Linked DNA regions of Arabidopsis thaliana. The protein of the gene in region 2 interacts with the protein of the main gene of each other region in a pairwise test. Each region holds a gene or a part of one and is shown on either strand. Other genes may lie near its edges.

What was found.
Region 1: the proteins of PUB22 (region 2) and AT1G75370 interact in a two-hybrid assay, tested with the Arabidopsis thaliana proteins (one study listed by BioGRID).
Region 3: the proteins of PUB22 (region 2) and AT1G77580 interact in a two-hybrid assay, tested with the Arabidopsis thaliana proteins (one study listed by BioGRID).
Region 4: the proteins of PUB22 (region 2) and AT4G28650 interact in a two-hybrid assay, tested with the Arabidopsis thaliana proteins (one study listed by BioGRID).

Annotation. Positions count from the first base shown.
Region 1 is NC_003070.9:28,275,928-28,281,704, forward strand, and holds AT1G75370 (Sec14p-like phosphatidylinositol transfer family protein), read right to left. Parts: upstream 3,872-5,777; coding exon 3,838-3,871; intron 3,665-3,837; coding exon 3,352-3,664; intron 3,267-3,351; coding exon 3,167-3,266; intron 3,082-3,166; coding exon 2,815-3,081; intron 2,721-2,814; coding exon 2,643-2,720; intron 2,547-2,642; coding exon 2,445-2,546; intron 2,345-2,444; coding exon 2,295-2,344; intron 2,175-2,294; coding exon 2,075-2,174; intron 1,985-2,074; coding exon 1,892-1,984; intron 1,809-1,891; coding exon 1,695-1,808; intron 1,619-1,694; coding exon 1,504-1,618; intron 1,416-1,503; coding exon 1,042-1,415; intron 934-1,041; coding exon 856-933; intron 786-855; coding exon 742-785; coding exon of another isoform or gene 730-741; exon of another isoform or gene 658-729; coding exon 513-657; downstream 1-512. Other genes in the region: AT1G75360 (uncharacterized protein), read left to right, coding at 1-29.
Region 2 is NC_003074.8:19,440,104-19,444,412, reverse strand, and holds PUB22 (plant U-box 22), read left to right. Parts: upstream 1-1,985; 5' UTR 1,986-2,162; coding exon 2,163-3,470; 3' UTR 3,471-3,796; downstream 3,797-4,309. UniProt on the Arabidopsis thaliana protein: E3 ubiquitin-protein ligase that negatively regulates water stress response. May control in coordination with PUB23 a drought signaling pathway by ubiquitinating cytosolic RPN12a.
Region 3 is NC_003070.9:29,143,526-29,149,230, forward strand, and holds AT1G77580 (filament-like protein (DUF869)), read right to left. Parts: upstream 4,122-5,705; 5' UTR 3,840-4,121; exon of another isoform or gene 3,313-3,839; 5' UTR 3,269-3,312; coding exon 3,179-3,268; exon of another isoform or gene 3,088-3,178; coding exon 2,892-3,087; intron 2,813-2,891; coding exon 1,137-2,812; coding exon of another isoform or gene 1,107-1,136; exon of another isoform or gene 1,044-1,106; coding exon 666-1,043; 3' UTR 502-665; downstream 1-501. Other genes in the region: AT1G77570 (Winged helix-turn-helix transcription repressor DNA-binding protein), read left to right, coding at 1-268; LACS9 (long chain acyl-CoA synthetase 9), read right to left, coding at 4,976-5,140, 5,215-5,421, 5,510-5,644.
Region 4 is NC_003075.7:14,143,428-14,149,361, forward strand, and holds AT4G28650 (Leucine-rich repeat transmembrane protein kinase family protein), read right to left. Parts: upstream 4,111-5,934; 5' UTR 3,850-4,110; coding exon 1,224-3,849; intron 1,144-1,223; coding exon 728-1,143; 3' UTR 531-727; downstream 1-530. Other genes in the region: IAA11 (indole-3-acetic acid inducible 11), read left to right, coding at 1-68, 160-221, 317-501. UniProt on the Arabidopsis thaliana protein: Involved in the regulation of procambium maintenance and polarity during vascular-tissue development. Involved in the pollen tube perception of the female signal. Phosphorylates MDSI1.

The DNA.
Region 1 (5,777 bases), on a different chromosome or scaffold from region 2:
GCCTCATTGGTGGCTATGGCTCGTGCTAGTCTTGATAGCTGACTTGGAAGTAGAGAAGAGGTAACAAAAAAAGTAAAAACTCACAAATGACTAAAGTTTGGTAGTATTATTCTACTTTAGGTGATGCTGGTGATTATTTTAAAATTAGCTGGCTTGATTTTCATTTTCGATGGTTTCGATTTTCTTTGGCACCACAATGAAATGAAATACGGAAATAGTAATTTTTATGTGAATTTGGGGAATTTTTTTTATCATTGATATCAAATTTGCTAACTCAGTCAGCCATTATTTTAGTAGTTTCAAAGACATTCAAATTTTGATATCAAAAAGTCGACTAACCGACTACCTATGTTGTTTACCACATCTTTTATGGAGTTAGCCTTGAATCAAGCTTAAATTATAAATAGACACATTTTTCATCATGACTCATTCATATAAGCATAGACCAAACAAATACTGTATGATAACTGCGATAGGAGGCAAAGCAGAGACGGAAGTGGGAGAAAATGGTGTCACTGATATAAATAAAAATGTACTTTGAATATTAACTGAAAAAACATTCTTCTAAAATTTCCCCCAAAAGTATCAAATCTTTGCTTATGAGACCTAATTTTGGATATAAACATTGTTCTCTCTATAGGGTTGGTGTTTACGAACCTACTCATAAAGCAGAGTACAACACCACTTCTTGTAACTCGTATAACTCGAAGCTCTCTCTCTCTTCAGTCTTCACCAGCACACCTTCTTTTTCTGTTTTCCCAACAAAAACCACGTAAGTGTATTCTCTTCATATATCAAAAAAACAATCACAAAATTACGGGTGATTGGGTGGGTGAAAGAAATTAAATGATTTACCTTGTGATACTTCTCGTCTTCTTCACGGTCTATGTAAGCCAAAAGATCATCTTGTCTCATTAAAGCCTCATGTAAAGCCTGAATCATTGGAGAGTGTTGGCGTTAATATACACACACAAAGACAGTTGCTTTTCATATTAATTAATAAAAGTCATTTAACATGGAATTGAGAGGTTTCCTTTAGACCTTTTTTGTAGCGATGAGCTCTGCTTCAAGTGCATCCACGCGATAAACAGCTGTATTAAGCAACTCCTCTTTCTCACGCGGCATCTCATGACGCTTCGAGTGCAGTGTTTCTACCTGTTTCTCAAGATCTCCTAGTCTGTTTACAACAGAAGAAAACACATTTCTCTCTGCGATAGTTGCAAAAGCCGGTGAAGGAGGACGAGACTCTCTAGCGTTTGGTCCATCAACTGAAGATTCAGACTGGGAGTGTCCTTCTCTCTGTGGCAGAGCCAAAGATATGAGAAGCGTAAACAAGTTTACAAAGAACATCATTAGCCACCTCCAGATATAAGTAACCGTTCTTATTTTGCCCGAATCGGGTGTATCCTCTGAACCTGCACAAACATATTCCATTACAGTTAAACTTTGCGTTGATCTGATTTCTGATTTACATATCATAATATTTAGATTCCTCTCTTTTACCTTTTGAAGCCTTTGGCTTTTCATGGGCCATCCAAGCAACATCCACGACTTTGTCCACCATTGGTGAATCATACTCTGATGAGTCAGTAGGATATGATATAGCAGTGCCCCTAATCTGAAAGTAACATCAGGTAGTAAGTAGTCTGAAATGCATACTGTGATTTTCACTTCCGTACAAAAAAAATTCTTACATCTTCACAAACAGGAGTCAGCTTGGGAACACGAAGCTCTCTATTTACTTTTGGAGAAGCCATCTCTTCCACTTCAGACCCTGATTCTGCTGTCGAGGTGTCACTAGCTTTTATCTGAGCCAATGAGGACATTGTTGTTACGGTAAGACACAAATTTTGAAAACAAGTTTCGTATCTTAAGTATAGAAGACCTTTACCCCAGAAAAAGATGGCTTATCGCATGAAGACACACGGGAAAAACTGTTTAGAGCCGAATTATGCCTGCAGAGCGGTCCACCACTTTGAAGCATCTACAAGGTGGGGAAGATCAGTTAAGTAACACTATTCTGTCTGGTGTTAATCTTTTTAACCAAAATAGGCTGCGGAAGATCGATTTTTACCTTTAATATCTCAGGGTCATTCCAGGGGCCTTTATCAGATCTCATACAACCACCTCGATCTGCACAGGTGCAAGTGCCACCAAGAAAATCTGGCAGCTGGCTGAAAAAGTTCCAAAAATGGTTAGGAAGCTATATCATATTTTGGACTCATGTGAACCAAACAAGCTATATCATATTTTGGACTCATGTGAACCAAACAAGAGGATTGAGATGTCTCAACCTTGCATCAATGATCTCAAGTAGTTTGTTTTGGTACTTGTTACCAATGACCTATAACAACAACACATCGACAATAGTTAATACGATTAAAGATAATCTTTAGGATAACTTGAGGAAATGTGGATGGATATGCATAAAAGGGTAAATTTACATGAATCTTCGTGACTGTTTTTGGATCAAGAAACTGTTTCACTGTGGCCCAGACTAGCTTAAAACCAGAACCACCATTGATGATGAACATACGATGAAGTGTCTGCATATAGGTGAAATATTACCTCACATTATCTTTTATCAAACTTATTTAATTAACACACAATTTGTAACAAAATCAATAGCAACCAGCTCATACCTCAGGGTAGTTATCGTTATCAATCTTTTGCAGCTGGATTATGAGATCCCTCGCAGGCTTAGAGAAATTCTTGAACCCCTGCAAAACATAAGTTAAGCAATTATAAGTAATAAGATGCAGGACAATAAACACTACACTAGGAAAAACTAACAGAATCTGGTTTTATAAGTACCACGCCTTGGACATCTAGAATTGTTGTGCTAGAGTCAATATGTCTCTTAGCAGCAATGCAGCAAGCTGGAAGCTTTATGTTGACAGTTTTCTCAAACTCTCGAACATGATACCTTATGAATCTTTCCACTGTAGTGACTTGCATGAGCTTGGCCGGATCAACTAGTCCTAATCTTTCAATGTAAACAGGCCTTCCTTCTTTATCAACACCATGATAACCATGAGGGTAGTATTTCAGAACTTCATCAAACTCTTCAAATTCAAAATCCTATTAACACACATATTGAGATTAAAACCATCACATGAGATTAAAAGTAACATATTAAGATTTTTTTTAAAAACATGTAATTCACCTCGAAAATGGTGTCAGTACCAAAATCTTTTCTCCATTTGATCATATTACTCCACATTAACTTGGTTTTCCCAATATCAAATTTCCTAGCTTTCAAGAATCTAACAGAGAACATAGAACATCAAAATCATCATCATCACCATCATCATCATCATGAAAAATGAATCGACAGAAATAAAGTCTCACCTCAGCATGATGTGATAATCATCAAGTGTAGGAGGAAGCAAATTCTCAGAGACGAGTAAATTACGGAATTCATCAACAGCTCGCAATTCCTCAACATCATGAATATCTTCAATGGTAAGAGAGAAAGTACGATCACTGCTTCTTCTCCTACTGCTACCTTTCTTCTTCAACGAATGTCTGAGTTTGCTCGAAGCTTTCGCAGCTTTCTTCTTGAAATTGAAATTCCCGATTCTTGTCTTCTTCTCATCCTCTGAAACTTCGAAATCTGATCTCCTTTCTCTTCTCTCATCATTGCTTGAAACTCCTTCAAAACCTTAAACCAAACAAAATCTCAATCAACATCAACAACAACAACAACAAATCCCTAAAATCTAAAACTCAGAGCATCGTCTACGTCTAGTTCTCAAACTCAATCTAACAAACCAGAATTGCGTGATTTCGAAATAGCGAGAATCGAGAGAAAGGGGATGATTAAAATTTACTCACAAGGTCTCGCAAATCGATCAAGAGAGCCTGACATGAGAAATCTTCAGAAGAATCCGAGAATCGGGGAACTCGGAATCGGCGGAGCCGAGAGAGAGAGAGAAGCGATTCTGCAGAGAGGAAATTGAAAGAGACGTAAGAGGGAGAAGTAAAGTGATGATGGGGTTTTATAATAATTATTAGTCTTCTTTAATTAATAAGTTTCAAAACTTGCGTTACAACAAAAGTTAGACTAGAAATGGTTTTCATTAATTGTGACCGGAAACACAAAGACTCGTCGGTGATTTTTTTCCTTCTTTTCTTCTTAGAAACTTTAAAATCAGTCATACTCTGTTTTCTTTTTTTTGAATGTTTGCTGGTAAGTGGTAACTACTATTTTTTGAGGTTTTTTCAATTTAGTTTTTTAATTAGATGAGTCCCCGCGCACGGTAAATACCGTTACTAAATACCGTTATAATTAGTTAATAATTATATATCGACTAATGTATTTTCAAATTTAGTGAGACGGATACTTACTATATGAGATAAATTTGTTAAGAATCAAATATCAATATTCAAATGGCTACTTTCGATCTTTCTTTATTTCTTTTCTTTCTTTTAATATATTTTTTTATTCGTTATAACAATATTCGGATTGATTGTTTAATCAAGAAGGCGCGTATCTGTATTACTTTCTTTTTTCATGTAAACTTATCGGTTTTTGAATAATTCTTGATAAAAGAAAAATGTTTTTCTGATAACTTAGTAAAATTGATGTTTGGTAAAAAAGAAACGACGAGATGATGGTTGTTTACCTAAACATGTTCAAAATCTGAGATTTTTTAGTTTAATGAGATGTTTTTCTGTTGATTCAAAAAGGATAGTGGGATATTTGAATTAAAAAAATGTTAGATTTGTAATATAAAACAAAAAAATGTTATAAAATTAGGCTTATTTGTCTATACATATTTGAATTGCTTATGTACCATTTAAAATCACTATTCATCTACCAAACTTAGGCTTTTGTCGATATATGACTTGTTTATGTGCCAAATACATGATTTATTTCTATTTTTTAATCTCTTATTGATTTTAGATATATTTTCCTTTATTTATTTATTTTTGTCTTTTTAATAACATTGACTATTTTTTCCCCATATTGAGAGCCCAATTCTGACAAGTGGTTGTCAGTTTGTCACACTATTTGTCGTATGAAACGTATGTTGCGAGATATTTTATTTGAATGGATATGGATTTTTTTTCATTTTAATTTTTTCTTTCCATTTATTATCAATTGACAATTTTTATTTATAAATTAAATATAATACAAACCAGTTGAATATAATCTTAATGGTACTGTGAAAACCATGTCTGCGTAAGATCTCTTGAATAATAAAATTTACATGAATATATATATTTGTAAATTAGTAAGAATATTTATAGACATATTTACCAAAGAACATCATAATGAAAAATAATTATCCTGTTTTATTGTCACGATTTAGATTTAGACAATGCAGTACTAACAAACAAAACAAAGACACTGCAGATATGTCGGCAAAGCCAGTGATTTTGTCTTTTCTTCAAATTTCATGTTAACCATATGCCACATTGCTTCTATGATAAACAACAAACAGCTGCAAGTAATAACAAAAATATATAATTAAATTATTATAAAAAGAAAGAAGCACGAAAACAAATACGACGAACATAAGACTTAAAAGGAAACTTAAAAGTAATTAGAGTGAGCTTAATTTGCATAGATTAATAAGTAATATGTACACATCACGCTACATACATACATTATACATTTTTTTTTGTTTATTTTTTAGGGAAATGGGTAAAGTGCAGAAGCATTCTTCGATCTCCATCATACAGAGACGACACTTCAGGCTTCTTCCTCCACTTTGATTCCGACCAATGACTTTCTTCTTAGTTTATGTACACAGCCAATAATTGTTGAT
Region 2 (4,309 bases):
GCTGTAATATATGACCGCTGCTCAAAGAATGGGAAAGAGCTATTTGTACATAAACCCAAATAAATATATATCCTCAAGATTGAAGTCAATTATCTATCTATTTGGATAAATTATTATTTTGTGGTTGAATGAATTGCTGATTAGTAGCATATATAGTTGCAACTTGGTCATGATTCTGGTCGTGCTCAAGAGTTGCCTAACTTATTTCTATTTTTCAATAATATCTTAATTTAACAAAAAGATGGAAATATTTCACTTCAGTTCTGTGATTCTGTTATACTTTCATATATTTTCCAAATTTCCAAATCATAAGAATACTATCGAGTTTCTATAATCAGGTCAAATAAGCTTGAAACAAATAATAACATAGGTTGAAATAGTTACAATGTAAACAGCAAATGGCTTAAAGTCTTAAACCAACAATTAAAGACTCATGAAGAACCACCAAAGCCAAACTATGACAAGAGAAATATCAGTTCATTTGAAATCTTAAAAGGTATAGAAGTGTTGATTAAGGATAACGGACTATCGATGATATCCTCTTCGTATATTTTTTTTAAAAAAACAGCAGAAAATCTTTATCATATATACACTTTTCATTCCGTTACTTAAACGTTAGTAAATAACCAATATCATAACTCATAAGTTCATTAATCATAGGGTATATAAAGCTGTAAATCATATTATGTTGACTTTTTCGTAATATATGCAATTTTTAATAACTAAAATGTTTGAAATCGAAAGATGTCTTTGGAAAACACAAAGTGGTATATATATATAGATATAGATTTGGTTAAAAATGTATGTAATTCTTTAAAAATGACAATGTTTAGAGTTTACTGGATTGTAGAACCTATGGATTTTGTTTAATGGCAAAAACAAAAATGGAAGTAAAGATGTCCATCGACAGATCAAAAACTCATATATATTGTCAAGATGAAATGATATAACGTTCTATAAAAACATTAAGTGAATCCCTGATAATCGGAAGAACGATAAAACAACTTGAAGAGACTGAGTTATCAATGTCCCACAAGTGGTACCAAAATAGTTTATGCATACCAAAACTATTTAATTAATCGAATGTAATTGACCAAAATAGATATCAGACTCAAAAGAATACCAAAACTTCAGTGATAACCAAAAGCAGATAAAAAACGTATATAGTTTATGCATTTGCCAATAGATGAGAGGCATATCCATTGGCACTAAGATCAAAGCCAACATATATATAAAGATAAAAGGAAAAAAGAGAGGAAAAATAACTGAAAATATGAATATCCAAAATATTGTGGAAGCGCCTAGACAAAAGTAGAGCATAACAAGGGAGTATGGGTCCAAAAGTATCACAAAAGATTGCATCCTAAAACAATGTACAAAATCCAACAACGGACCGTTAATGGCACTTTAGGTTTTGTCGGTACCAAAAACAGTAATCTTCTTTTTGTTGACAAAATTAAAAACCTAAAAATCTTCATCTACCTTTCGGTTGATTAACAGTTATATTAACCATAGTTTTGAAAATTGAAACAAGCCAGCCAATTTAGGTTACAATTTTTTGTAAAATGAAATAAAAAGTCAATGGGGGATGGCAAAAAAAGAGGAGGAATAAGCAATTATGGCATGTGAGTAAAACGAAAAAGAGACACAAAACAGACAATCTATTTGTCTTCAACACCGCCACAACCAATCCCCAATGACTTGGTTACTTTTTACACTTTCTTCGCCGTTATCGCATCTCTTTTGACAAGTCAACACTCTTCATACGTCTCACTTTTTTTTTTAATATGAGAAACGCATTTATAGTTTAGTTTCTTTTGTTACACCACCCAAAAAAAAAGTCAAATCTATATATAACGTTCCTCGTTCGTTCTAATAAAAAACTATACAATAATAAATAAATAGCGACAGCTATCCAAAAAGAGTTTTAACAATACTTGTATTTTCCGTGTTTTGACTTTTGTAATTATTCTGAATATTTCCACTATCCCTTTATATTTAAAGACCCAAACTCTTCATCTATCTTCTTGCTAACTTATTCAAACCAATTCACATATCTCCTAAATCTCAACGACTGCACTTTGAAGCTTTTTGTTTAGATTCGTTCGTCGTTTCCATTGATTAAGTCTACTTCTTTTTTTTCATATTTTCGAGCGGGTCAAATGGATCAAGAGATAGAGATTCCTTCCTTCTTCCTTTGTCCAATCTCTCTAGATATCATGAAAGATCCGGTGATAGTTTCCACCGGAATAACCTACGACCGAGAAAGCATCGAGAAGTGGCTCTTTTCCGGTAAGAAAAACTCATGTCCAGTCACCAAACAAGTCATAACCGAAACTGATCTTACCCCAAACCACACTCTTCGCCGTTTGATTCAATCTTGGTGTACCCTCAACGCATCATATGGTATAGAGAGGATCCCAACTCCAAAACCTCCGATCTGTAAATCGGAGATCGAAAAGCTTATCAAAGAGTCGTCATCTTCGCATCTAAACCAAGTCAAATGCCTCAAACGACTTCGTCAAATAGTATCTGAGAATACAACCAACAAACGGTGCTTAGAAGCCGCAGAAGTTCCGGAGTTTTTGGCAAATATCGTAAGCAACTCTGTAGATACGTATAACTCTCCTTCTTCTTCACTTTCTTCTTCGAATCTCAACGACATGTGTCAGTCAAACATGTTGGAGAATCGATTTGATTCTTCAAGAAGCTTGATGGACGAAGCCCTAAGCGTACTCTACCATCTTGACACATCGGAGACAGCCCTCAAGAGTCTTTTAAACAACAAGAAAGGAACAAATCTTGTGAAAACGTTGACGAAGATTATGCAACGTGGGATCTACGAGTCAAGAGCCTATGCGGCTTTGCTTCTCAAGAAGCTCCTGGAAGTTGCGGATCCAATGCAGATCATATTGTTGGAACGAGAACTTTTCGGTGAGGTGATTCAAATCTTGCACGACCAGATCTCTCACAAGGCGACAAGATCAGCAATGCAAATCTTGGTGATCACATGTCCATGGGGAAGGAATAGACACAAGGCAGTGGAAGGTGGAACAATCTCGATGATAATCGAGCTTTTAATGGACGATACTTTCTCATCAGAGAGAAGGAATTCAGAGATGGCGATGGTGGTTCTTGATATGTTATGTCAGTGCGCAGAAGGAAGAGCTGAGTTCTTGAATCACGGTGCCGCTATTGCGGTTGTGTCTAAGAAGATATTGAGGGTCTCACAAATAACTAGTGAAAGGGCAGTTAGGGTTTTGCTTTCGGTTGGGAGGTTCTGCGCGACACCCTCTTTGTTGCAGGAGATGTTGCAATTGGGAGTTGTAGCAAAGCTGTGTCTGGTACTTCAAGTTAGCTGTGGTAACAAGACTAAAGAAAAGGCTAAAGAATTGCTTAAGCTTCACGCTAGGGTTTGGAGGGAATCACCTTGTGTCCCAAGAAATTTGTATGATTCGTATCCTGCTTGAACAACGTACATGTTTGAATAATTCTCATCAGATACAAACAATTCTTTGAGAATTATTCTTCGTATAAGTTCATTTTAAAACAAAAAAGAGTGGTTTAAATTTTGCTCAAACTCTGATTTTCTTTCATTTGTTTTTGTTTTATTATCTTTCAATGTTTATCATTATGTGTAGATAATAGTGGACATATTTTCATGAAATTATGAAAAAACTGCAAAGAAATAAATGGATTCACAGGTTACATGGCTATTTTATCCCACTTGCTTTGTTCGTAATTGTTAGAGGCTCCTTATTTATATTCTTTTTGTCCATTACTCACAATAATAATGGAGAACATCTCTTTCAACTTCTCGTTTTTATTGAGTGGATAACCTAAAGGTTACATCATAGTTCTGCTAAAACCATTACTTTTTACAAATACTTTTAGAGATTTGTATGCGTCATGTGTAACGTTTCTGACCATTTAATTGATGCCAGAATTGTAACATTGCGAATGTAATTATGTATATATATATATATTATGTCGGTACGTTCTACAACTCTAATCCCACTATTGATTTATATATTCCAGTATACATCGACGATATCCACGACGGGCATTCTTTCATTCGAGGATGAGTTTCTGTTTTAAGAAATTCTTAATTAAGATTTGTTTTCTTAATTATTATGTAAACATACCAAAAGTCCTTCATATATATGTGATTTTGTATTCACTTATTGTGATTTTTTAGATCACTCAGTTTAAAATGATTTAGACTAAACGTGGTAAAAACTGTTTACGAAAACTCTTTGCATGCGTTTTAACGATCAATAGACATTTCATTATCGGTAGATCGAAGGCA
Region 3 (5,705 bases), on a different chromosome or scaffold from region 2:
AGAGTTTTACAGAAGGATTCTGCCTAAATATGTAGACTTGGGCACAAACCTCTCACGGTTTTTCTCCAACCTTCGTTCTCATGGGTTCAAAATAGTTAAAGGAAGAACTGGAGTATTGGAATTTGGACATGAAGATTTTATCAGAGATAAACTGGAGCTTATGAAGAAGATGGTTAGCGATAAACGTAAAGCAAGGAAAGCTGCTAAATCCAAAGCAAGGAAAGCTAGAGTTCAAGTCGAGTTTCTCTTCCAACACTTGCAAATTTGATCGTCCATTAAATCAGTCTTCTTTATTATGTATATTCGTCTCCAAGTAGATTCAAGTCTAAGAACTTTTCAATAGTATGTTTCTCTCTTTATAGGAACCCTCTTTATATGCCTAGTCTTTGATTCTTCTCTTATGATGGTGGCTTCTCTTCTTTATTGTCTTATATTATGATTCATAACAACATCACATAGAAACTTCCTAAAACCTCTTAACAGAAAATTGAAAACTTTTGAAACATCTTTTATGGAATATCCATCCACTGCATTACACTAGAGATTAACTTTTAAAACTACTACTATGGATTCAAAATCTGGAAAAGGGAACAAAGTGGTGTTAAAAACGGATCCTTTTTAAACCCTAAGAGATAAGTTTCTCTGCCTACTCTGCCAAAGTTATGTTATATAGCCAGATGGATACCGTCTTTACTTCTTGTGAATACTGTTGCAAATCCATTGCGATTCTTCTCAGAACTCCCTCGGTTTGTTGAAACTGGCATTGAAACAGCAGCAGACGCAGTAGAAGAAGAAGAAGATGGAGATGTTTCTTTGGTTGGTTTGATGGACTCAGGATGATTTCTTGTCATGAAAGTTTCGTTTTTGTGAACCTTCCAACTCTCTGAGTTGCTGCTGCTGCTTACACCATTTGCAGCCATTGGAATTATCGGTGTATCGGTTAAGAAATCTTCAAGTGTTGCAAGGGACTGCAACTGTTTCCCCAATGAAGCTATTGTTTTCTGACAATTCGCAAGTTTCCCTGCAGCTGTTTCTATGTCTTCCTGAATTATAGTAATCAAGTTTTAGTGGACAAAAAAGTGATTGTGATGGAACACAGTCTAAGTTTAACTAACACCTGAACTTTGGAGACAGACCTGTTTGATCTTGGGTTCTTTATTTTCACTCTTGATTGAGTTCTCTTTATGGAGAGAGATCTCTTCTTCAAGAGCCTCACATTTTCTCCTAAGCTCATCAAAAGCAAACCTCTCCTTTCTCATGTCTTCTTCCAAAGATTCAATCTTTGCGGATTTAGTCTTTGCATCTGCTTCCATTGCGATGGTTTGAGACTCTACTTCAGCTTTTAGTTCGTTAACGAGTTTCATCTCCGTTTGTATCTCCCCCAGCTTCGTCTCGATTTCTTGCAGACAAACTTGAGATTCTTCATATTTATCTTTGATTATGTCAAAAGATATTTGCAGCTCAGCTTTCTCAACTTCCAACTTCTCCAACTTATTTTCCAGCTCCATTTTTTCACAAGCAATAGCTTCGAGCTCAAATCTCAATGTGCTCTCCACTTCCCTGTTACATTTAACTTCACTTTTGAGCTCATCTTTCTCTACTTCCAACTTCTCTAACTTCTCCTCAAGTTGCTTGATTCGGCAAGTCAATACTTCTATTTCAGTAGCCAACGAGTTCTCTACTTGAGCAACAGCCTCTTCTCTGTTACATTTTACTTCACTTTCGAGTTCAACTTTCTCCGCTTCTAACTTCTCCAACTGTTCTTCAAGTTCCTTAGTTCGAGAAGTCAGTACTTCTATTTCAGCAGCCAATGAGTTCTCTACGTGAACAACAGCCTTTTCTCTGTTACATTTAACTTCACTTTTGAGCTCCTCTTTCTCTGCTTCTAACTTTTCCAACTTTTCTTCAAGTTCCTTAGTTCGAGAAGTCAGTACTTCTGAGTTCTCTATATGAACAACAGCCTCTTCTCTGTTACATTTAACTTCATTCTCGAGCTCATGTTTCTCGGCTTCTAACTTTTCCAACTTCTCTTCAAGTTCCTTAATGCGAGAAGTCAGTACTTCTATTTCAGAAGCTAACGAGTTCTCTGAGGGAACAACAACCTCTTCTGTAACTGATTCAGGTCCACTCTTACCGTTCCCATCTGGCGTCTCAGGCAATGCTACAAGACGTTCCATCTCAAGAAAATCACCCATGAGATCAAGTTCAATGGAAGAGGAAGTTCCCTGAAGGCTTCTCTTCTCAATCAATGTGGATGATGCCCATGAATCAGAGCAACTCACATCCATTCGTTCCCCTCCATCAGAATGACTATCTGTAGATCGATGATCGTTAAACGAAGCTGATGACTTAGCCAACATCCGAAACTTCCTGCACTCAGCCTCAAGTTTCGCCACTTTCTTTATGCTATCTAACTGCTGCTTGCTGGCGGTTTCAGCTGCTTGGGTACTCAAATCCCTCTCAATAGTTCTGATCTCTAGCTCTTCGCATCGCGCAAGAAGCTCGTGTCTAAGCATCACGTTTTCTTTCGCCACAGATTCCGCCATTTGGCTAAGCTCCTCAGACTTGGTTGCAGTTTCAAAAATCTGGTTCTCAAGGCTGGTTCTAGAAGACTGCAACTCCTGAGTTCTCTCGATCACAGCATCTTGAATTCTCTGTTCTTGTTCATCTCTTGCTTGCCTTAACTGTCTCACACACTCCTTTAAAGCTCCATCAAGATGGCTTACTCTATCTTCCAACACTCTATTCTTATCATCAGCAGCCTCAAGCTTCTCCTTTAACTCAACCACTTCATTTTCAGCTTTCTCCCACCCTTCACAACAAGAGTAGATATATCTTCACTAAAAAGTCGCAGAATCATAAAACAAAAATGTAGAAAAAAAGATTGATACCAGCGACAGCTTCTTCAGCGACTTTGACATGTTGCTTCACTAGATCATCTTTAGCACTCACATTAGCAAGAGCAGCTGAAAGTTTCTCGGCTAAAGTCTTCATGCTATCTTTCAACTCTTCCTTTTCAGTTTCTACTTCCAAAGAAACCGTTGGTGATTGTATCTCGTCATCACGAGACTCCATTGTACTCTCAGGCTTGAGCAAAAATAAAAACAGACATTACAATGATCTTTTAGATGCAAAGGACACAAGACTAAAATAACAAAAACAAAATTCTTGATCTTACTTGAATTTCAGAATCCTTCTCAGATAGTGAAGACACAGACTCTGATTCACCAAAGCTTCTCTCAGATGATTCTCTCTTCCTTTTCTCCATTTATAGTTTCCAAGATCACAATCAGCACATAACAGTCTCAGGATCTGAATGAGAGAGAAAACACACACACACACACACATACATTGGATTCTTTAAAAATGCTGAAACATACATAAACATAGTCAAAGAAGAAACAAACTTTAAGATGAAGTAAACTGAACCAATCAGCAAACATGCAAGATAAGAGAAAATCTTGAATAAACCAATCATTTAACACAAAGTATTAGAAATGATTTAAAGGAACTGAATTTGTCTTTATAGTAACAAATGTGGTTCCAGATGTCCGTTTCATAATCAAAAACCAACGGTTGAGAAAGCTACAAGACAAAGAACAAAAGCTTGAAACTTTAAATTTGAAACTCGTTGAGGCATAAGGGAAAATCTACCAAAACCCCAAATCCAAGAGAAGGAAATAAAAGCTACGAGGGTAATGGAACAGTGATAAGTAAGTCTCAAACTACACTCCAAACATTGGTCTATTTCAGAGAACACTTAAGTAGATAAATTAAAAAAAAACGAACAAAGGAAGAGAATATTGTGAAAGAGACCAAATGTTTGGTGAAGTAAATACCTTTTGGTTGGGGACTGTATGAAGAACTTTGAGATCCCAAAATGCCCCAATGGAAACAAAAAAAAATCAGCGATTAAACAAGCAAAAAGGAAGAAGCTTTCTTCTTCTTCTACTACTGTCTGAAACACTATTACGATTTATTAACAGCGACAAGGCAGAGATATAGCGTGAGAGAGAGAGAGAGAGAGAGAAGAGAGAATTCTCTTTATCTTGTTTTTTGCTATTTTTGAAATATTTCTCTAATTTTTCTTCTTTAATTCAAAAGATAGAAAGAGAGATAGAGCATGTGATCTTCTGTATGTGGAGCTGTGAACTCAAAAAACATTTAAATCTTAACTTTTTCAGCTTTTTTTAAGGAATTATTATTTTTGTGTATATAAATGTAAGGAATTAAAAGTTAAAACGTAATTTCGTACTAATTAATTTGAATTATTGACATTTAAAGTGCTTATAACAATTCCCGCCCGAGAATACATTATTGACAATAATTTAGGATAATTAAATTACGAATTTAGAAAGCAGCTTTTGAATTTAAGGAAGTTGTAACGGTTTTAATAATAATAATGTGATTAAAGAAGAGCTCACGCGTCTCGCTGACTCTGGTCATTGGGTTCACTGACAAAATCAGTGAGATTCACAATTTATCCGACGGTTTAGATTGCTCCCATCTCTCACTCTGCTTTCTACTTTTTTTTTTTTTTTTTTCTGTTAAGTACAATATAATTAATTTATACACTAATCTCCAATTTATCTTTTCTTAATTGTTGGTAGTTGGTAAGATTAACTTTATTTTCACTCCAGATTACAATTGATAGTCTCTTTCCTTTTGTCGTTTATCTCGAGTCCCAAAAACAAATAAACTAAAAACTATATGCATAGGCTTAATGACGTGGTTTGATAAAGGCCCATTAAGTTGTATAGACATGGTCTCAAAGCCTAAAAAGATTGTTGAGAGTAAGAGACCCATTACTCTGTTTTTTCTGTCTCGTCCTAGTTCCCACACAAATTACACGAAAAGACAGAAACATCAATGAGAAAAGAGATAACTATTCTTAGAATTAAGTTTTTGTGCATCTGTTAAGTCTTTCGAATGCATCGAGACGTAAAAAAAAAAAAAGTAAAGGAAGAAGAAAAATTTAGGCATATAACTTGGTGAGATCTTCAGAGAATTCCCTCCTAATTACATCTCTTTTCAGCTTTAGAGCTGCTGTGACTAATCCTGACTCTGGCGTCCATGGAGATGCCAATAATTTGATCTTTGCTGGTATCTCAAACTTCTCCAATCGTGATTGTTTAGCCGCCTGCATAACACAGATGTTATAAGGAAATGACTGGGGGACTCAAATAGCTTGGTAATGAGTAGCAATGAACATACCTTCACAAGGGACGCATACACTTCTTTCACGGCTTGCTCTTTCGTGCACAGTTCTTCGAAGTTGGCAAAGTCTATTCCTTGCTTTGAAGCCCAACCTTCAACTGTATGTTGGGACGCGACCACAAGAGCCACACAGTAACTGTAGAACGAATCAGCATGAACCATTATGTTTTCAACATAGGGACTTATACTTAGAGCAGCTTCAACCTGCGAAAAAAAAGAATGTTTTAAGAAGCTTCTCCGGAGAATTGAGTGATGAAGACAAAAAAGGGTATTCGGATTGAGAAAACTATACTTTGCCCAAGGAGACATATTCTCCATGCTGAAGTTTAACGATATCCTTTTTTCGGTCTATTATCTCGAGGCAGCCATCAGGGTGAAATCGTCCTATGTCTCCTGTGTAGAACCACCTCATTCCCTTTTCATCAACCTTTGAACATTCAAGTGTATAAAACGGTTAGAGGAAGAACCAAACCAACCAATTCTTTTAA
Region 4 (5,934 bases), on a different chromosome or scaffold from region 2:
TCCGGATTAGTACTAACGTATGAAGACAAGGAAGGAGATTGGATGCTTGTTGGCGATGTTCCGTGGGGGTATGCATACATATGTTCTTATGCTTTTGATGCTTTGTCCCGTGTAAGCGTCAAATTCTGAAGTTTGAACCTGAGTTTTACTTGTGTCTAGGATGTTTATTGGTTCAGTGAGAAGGCTCCGGATAATGAAAACATCGGAGGCTACTGGTAAAGGTACATTTACTGATTCGATCAAATCCTGATATCTGTATTAAAATCATTGTTTTGTCGTTGTGACCGTGTTTGTGTGATCCTTGTTTACAGCTCAGATGATATTATGAAGCAAATAATAATCTACGAAGAACCCTTTATGTTTGAAGCAGTAATAAGACAGATCACAGATCAAAGAGAAGACAAAAACATTGTAAGAAGCTTCTTCTTCTTCTCTCCCCTTTACAGTTTCTTTTTTGGCTCTGCCATTTTTCTTTTAGTTAGTTATATGTTCTCTTTGTAAATCACACTTTAAAAATCTATAAGAAAACCCTTTCTTGCACAAAAACAAAACGGTTCAGAGCAATGCACAAAGTTAATATGATCATGTAAAACAAAGGAAACTTATTCTACATGGAAAAATTAAATCAAAAGATACATATCTCTCTCTCTTTCTCTCTTTCTTCTACATACAGAACACGAATCGAACGAATCAGTTTATCGGCCTCTTTTGATTCTTAAATCTCATACTAAAGAAGGCCATTTACAGGTGAAGTACTAAAAACCGATGAATGTTTCTCGGCCAAGCTACGACTAGTGTTCTCTTCATTACTATTACTTTTCCTCCTCGGTTTAGCCTCTCCGAGCATCGATATCACATCTCTCATCGAAGGTCTGTCTTTCGGGAGCTTTGTAGTGCAGAGAAGAGCAATCTGTAGAACTAAAAGCATCTCTTCTTGCACATATCTGCAGTTTCCTACGTTAGGATCTAATGCTTCTTCTAGTGATATGTTGTCTCTTATCTTCCTTCTCACCCACTCCACAATGTCTACTGATTCTCCAAACTCCGGTTCCAATGGTCTTCTTCCGGTTAACAGCTCCAATAGTACGACGCCGTAGCTGTATATGTCTATCTTCTCATCCACCTTCAAAGTGTATCCATACTCTGCAAATGATCAACCATATGTTGTTAGACTAAACCGGATTGTAATCAATTTAGTAATCGGTATGGTATTTAAACCTTACCGGGAGCAATGTAACCGTAAGAACCGGCGACCATTGAAACGGTTTCTTTCTTCCTCGCCATCATCCTGGCGAGGCCAAAATCGGCGATTCTGGCGTCGAGATTCGCGTCGAGCAAGATATTGTTGGATTTGATGTCTCTGTGAATCACCGGAGGATGACAATCATGGTGGAGGTAAGCGAGGCCGTGAGCTACACCTAACGCGATGTTGTAACGCGAAACCCAATCAACGAGAAGTCTCCCGGCGGCGTTTTTGCCGTGAATCGCATCACCAAGGTTTCCGTTGAGCATGAATTCATATACGATCATCATGTTTTTGTCGTTGTATAAGAACCCTAGGAGCCTCACTATGTTTCTGTGTCTCAATTTCCCGAGGAGGTTAACTTCGCCTACGAAATCTCCGGTGGTTCCATCTTCAATATCCGCGGCAGATCTCCAGAGCTTCTTCACGGCGAGAACTGTGCTTGATCGTGACATTTCTGCTTTGTACACGATTCCGGTTGCTCCCATTCCGATCATGTTTGATTCTTTGATACATGCCAAGATATCGGAAGCTGTAAACCCTAATCTATGAAACGCCATTAATCTCCAAGGCCATTCACCTTTGCTCGCCGTCTCGTCGCCGCAGAATCCGTTAGAATACCATTTCTTGTACAGAGTTCTCGTAACAATGGTGAGAATCCCTAGAGCTAGAACCGATGCTATCCCAATCAACCATCCGGCGACAATTCGTTTCCCGTGGAGGCTACTGTGACTCGATGTTGCTCTTTGGAATTTACTACACGGTGGTAGAACGCCGCCGCAGAGACCGGAGTTTCCTCTTAGATCATCTGGATTTATGGTTTTGAGAAAGCCGTTGATAGGGACTGGACCTGTGAGCTTGTTGTATGAGACGTTTAGGAGTTCCAGAGCTGGAGATGTTCCGATGCTCTCTGGTAGTACTCCGGTTAAGGAATTGTTGGAGAGATCTAGCACTGCTAATGCAGACATTGTCGTGATCTGTCTAGGGATTTCGCCGGTGAGGTTATTATTTCTTAGGTTGAGGCTTACGAGCTTCTCGCATGAAGCAATGCTTGAAGGGATAGTGCCAGTGAGAGTGTTTGATGAGAGATCGAGATTAGAGAGTGAAGGACAATCCTGGAATTGGTCTGGAACTTCGCCGGAGATAAAGTTATCGGCGACTAAAAACGCCTGTAGGTTGTGAATTGAGAGGATTGTGGAAGGGAGAGATGATCGGATCTGGTTTCTTGAGAAATCAATGAAAGAAAGTGAAACTGAATCGGAGATGTCTCCAGGGATCCCTCCGCTGAGACGATTTCCGGCTAGTTCGAGTCTCTGTAGCTTCTCAAGCTTGCCAAAGCCGATAGGAATTGATCCGTTTAGTAGATTGTTCTGCATTCTAACACGAACTAGTGATTGGCAAGTGGAAAGAGTCGCTGGAATCTGACCGGTGAAGGTGTTGTTGAAGAGAATGAGCTTGGTTAGATTTCCCTTGTTGCATAGAGTTGAAGGAATCTCGCCTGAGAAGGAGTTTGAAGAAACGTCAAGCCATTGTAATGGAGAATTCTTCCCGAGATCGCTTGGTAACTCGCCGGAGAGCGTGTTGTTCCAGAGCTCGAGGACTTGTAACTGTGCTAGACTGCTGATGGCGGGAGGAATGGAGCCTGAGAGTTTGTTGCGCATCAGGTTCAGTAGCTGGAGGTTCTTGAGCTTTGTTATCTCCATTGGAATCTCGCCGGTTAACGCATTATCGGAGAAATCAAGAACCTTTAGCGTGGTAATGCTTCCTATCTCTCTTGGAATTGTTCCGGTGAAGTTATTCTCGTACAGGAGAAGCGTCTCGAGTGACTTGAGCTTCCCAAGCTCTGACGGAATCTCACCACTGAGCTTTCCGATGGCCAAATCAAGGTACTTGAGGCTGTTTATGTTTCCAAATTCCGGTGGAATCGGACCTTTGAATTCGTTGTAACCAAGAATGGCGGTTTCAAGTGAAGGGAGCTGGCCGAGAACGCTTGGTAACTCGCCGGTGAGATTGTTTCCGGATAATCCGAGAAATCTCAGCTTCTGTAGATTCTTGAATGAACTTGGAAGTGACCCTTGAAAGAAATTCCCTCGGAGATCAAGAACTTCTAAAGAGACTAAGTTCCCGAGATCCTCCGTGAGATTTCCGGAGAGATTGTTCCCTGAAGCATTGAGGTGAACAAGCCCAAGTGATTCATTGCTAAATAGAAAAAGACTCCCTGAGAATGAATTCTGGCTGATGTCAATAGATTTCAACGGAGGGATTGATTTCGGGAGCAGCGACTCGAATCCGTTGCATGATATGTTAAACGAGACAAGGCTACTCAGCTGGCTGATCGAATCTGAGATTTTGCCTGTGAGATTCATCCCCGCCAGGTCGAGCTTCTCAACATTGCCATTTGAGTTGCACCGAACACCGGTCCAATTACAGTGATCGCTGGTGTCTGAAAGCTTCCAGTCTTTGAGAAAGTTGAGAGGATCCACAAGAGTTGATTTCACCGACAGCAAAACAGAGAGCTCGTTGACATTGTCGATGGAAGCTAAAACAGAGGAAGTAGAACCAATGTAACAGTAGTAAAGGAAGAGAACTATTATCTTCATCTTCATCTTCAACTTCTTCCTCTGTCTCAACAGCTTCAACTGAAACTTGACTCCTTAGTTCATTACCAAGAACGAGACTAGTGAACATGCAAGGAGGTGGTGGAGGAAGAGAGTAGAATAAGAAGAAACTCTGTAAGTATATGCTTGTTCTGTGTTTATTATGTTATATATATGTGACATATAAACACAGAGATATATAAAAATGAATCTTGGTTTTATATGGATGTAGTGATCAAAGAGTATGTAGGGTTACATGTTCTAAGAAAAAAAGAAATAAACAAGATCTTGGAAGTATTTGAGAAATTTCTTAAGACATTGAACATGTGAAGAGAGAATGTGTTTTCTTCACAATTACAACTAATCCAAAAATGTGTTCGGTGTTTTAAAATTAATTAAGTCAACTATTGATTTGCTGTATAGTGATTTGTGAATGTGCCATAGATAGCTTAAGCTTAAACTAATACTAATATAATTACTATTTTTTATACATACACTTGGTGTGTGGCATAGAGGTAGCTTATGCTTAACTTCATTCTAATTCAGCTTTTGTAGAATGTCTTTATCTATTTTCCCACCTTTTTCCTTTTGTGTCTTTTAACGCTTGCCTTCTAAGGAAGAAAAACAAAAAATATACCATTAGCTCTTAGCAATATTCGATTACATTACATATTAATGATGAATCAGTGATTATATTGTAAATCTCGTATTTAGGATATAGCCACCGAGGTGAACGTTCGAAGCATATAAGAATGGGTGACCTGCACATGTGATGAAGAAGAACAGATGATCCTATTACCCTATGCTCTGCAGCATATTTAAATATCAGATAGGTCCAAATAAATTTCATTATTAATTAAAATCAGCAATAATGAAGATATTCCCACGATCGATCTTCACGTTTCTTCTTACCCCTTTTGAATTTCGAAAAGCTTCTTTCTATTTGGTTGGTTAAAAAAAATTAAGATCGAGCCCACTCATGGCCATTATACGTGAAAACATATTTCTTTAGTTCAATCATACTTACCTTGATGCGTAACAAAAGTGTGAATACTATAATGTATGCCACTGCAGAGAGTGCAGGCTTGTTACTGTTCTTTCGTTTGCATGATTGATTAGATAAGAATCTTCCCATGTTACAGATTTATGGCAGTGTAATATAGGTATAGTATAATATTGTTGATAATATAACAAATAAAAATTAAATAAAGTGGTTAATTGTATCACTTCTTGAATGTATCAGCAAATTGTCCCTAATTAAAATGCTACTTTCTTAAACGTTCTTCAGATATAAAATTCTAATTTCGTAAACTTTCTACCTGATGTCTAAAAGACTAAAAGCATGTGTAGACGTATACACCCAAAGTCAGTGCCAATGCCTTTAAGGTAAAGTAAAATGGAGACGGAATAAAAAAAACGTACGTCAAACGAGAGAATATAATTTTTATTTTTTTTTCAGACTGCCCAATTAGCATAGCATAGTAATTTGATATCACTAAAAAGAATCCAAACTTGATAAATAATAACCGTGACAAATTCAACACCAAGATGTTTAAAAACTCAAACAGATATGTATGTATCAAGAACGGGTCGAGGTAAACTAACTGATCAATTTGATAAAGGATAAGATAAGCTAAATGCTAAATGATTTGTGGGAAAATGGCAGAGAAATGCACACGCATAATATTCATCAAAACAATTATTGTAATACTCCAACAATTACCCACTCCTCTTACTGATTTCATGTTTCCATCCTTCTTATTACAGTACTAAACACAAACTGTTGCTTCACATGCACTCATGTGGACCTGTCTTTTATACAATTGTTTTTTCTTTCTTATTATTTGTTGTTTTTAGAAAACATTCCGATCCGTAGTTAAGTTCTTCATTTGCTTAATTATCCTTTCGATCGTTGGATAAAATACCTTAAATTCTACGATTACTCAGTAAGTAATTTTTTTTTATATAATTGATAGAATACACTTTTCAGTTTTGAATCTTTCGACTGATCACTGATATATACAATATCTTAGGAAAATAAATAAATTTGATCTACACCATAAATATTATAATAATCAATTATTACCCAAAAGA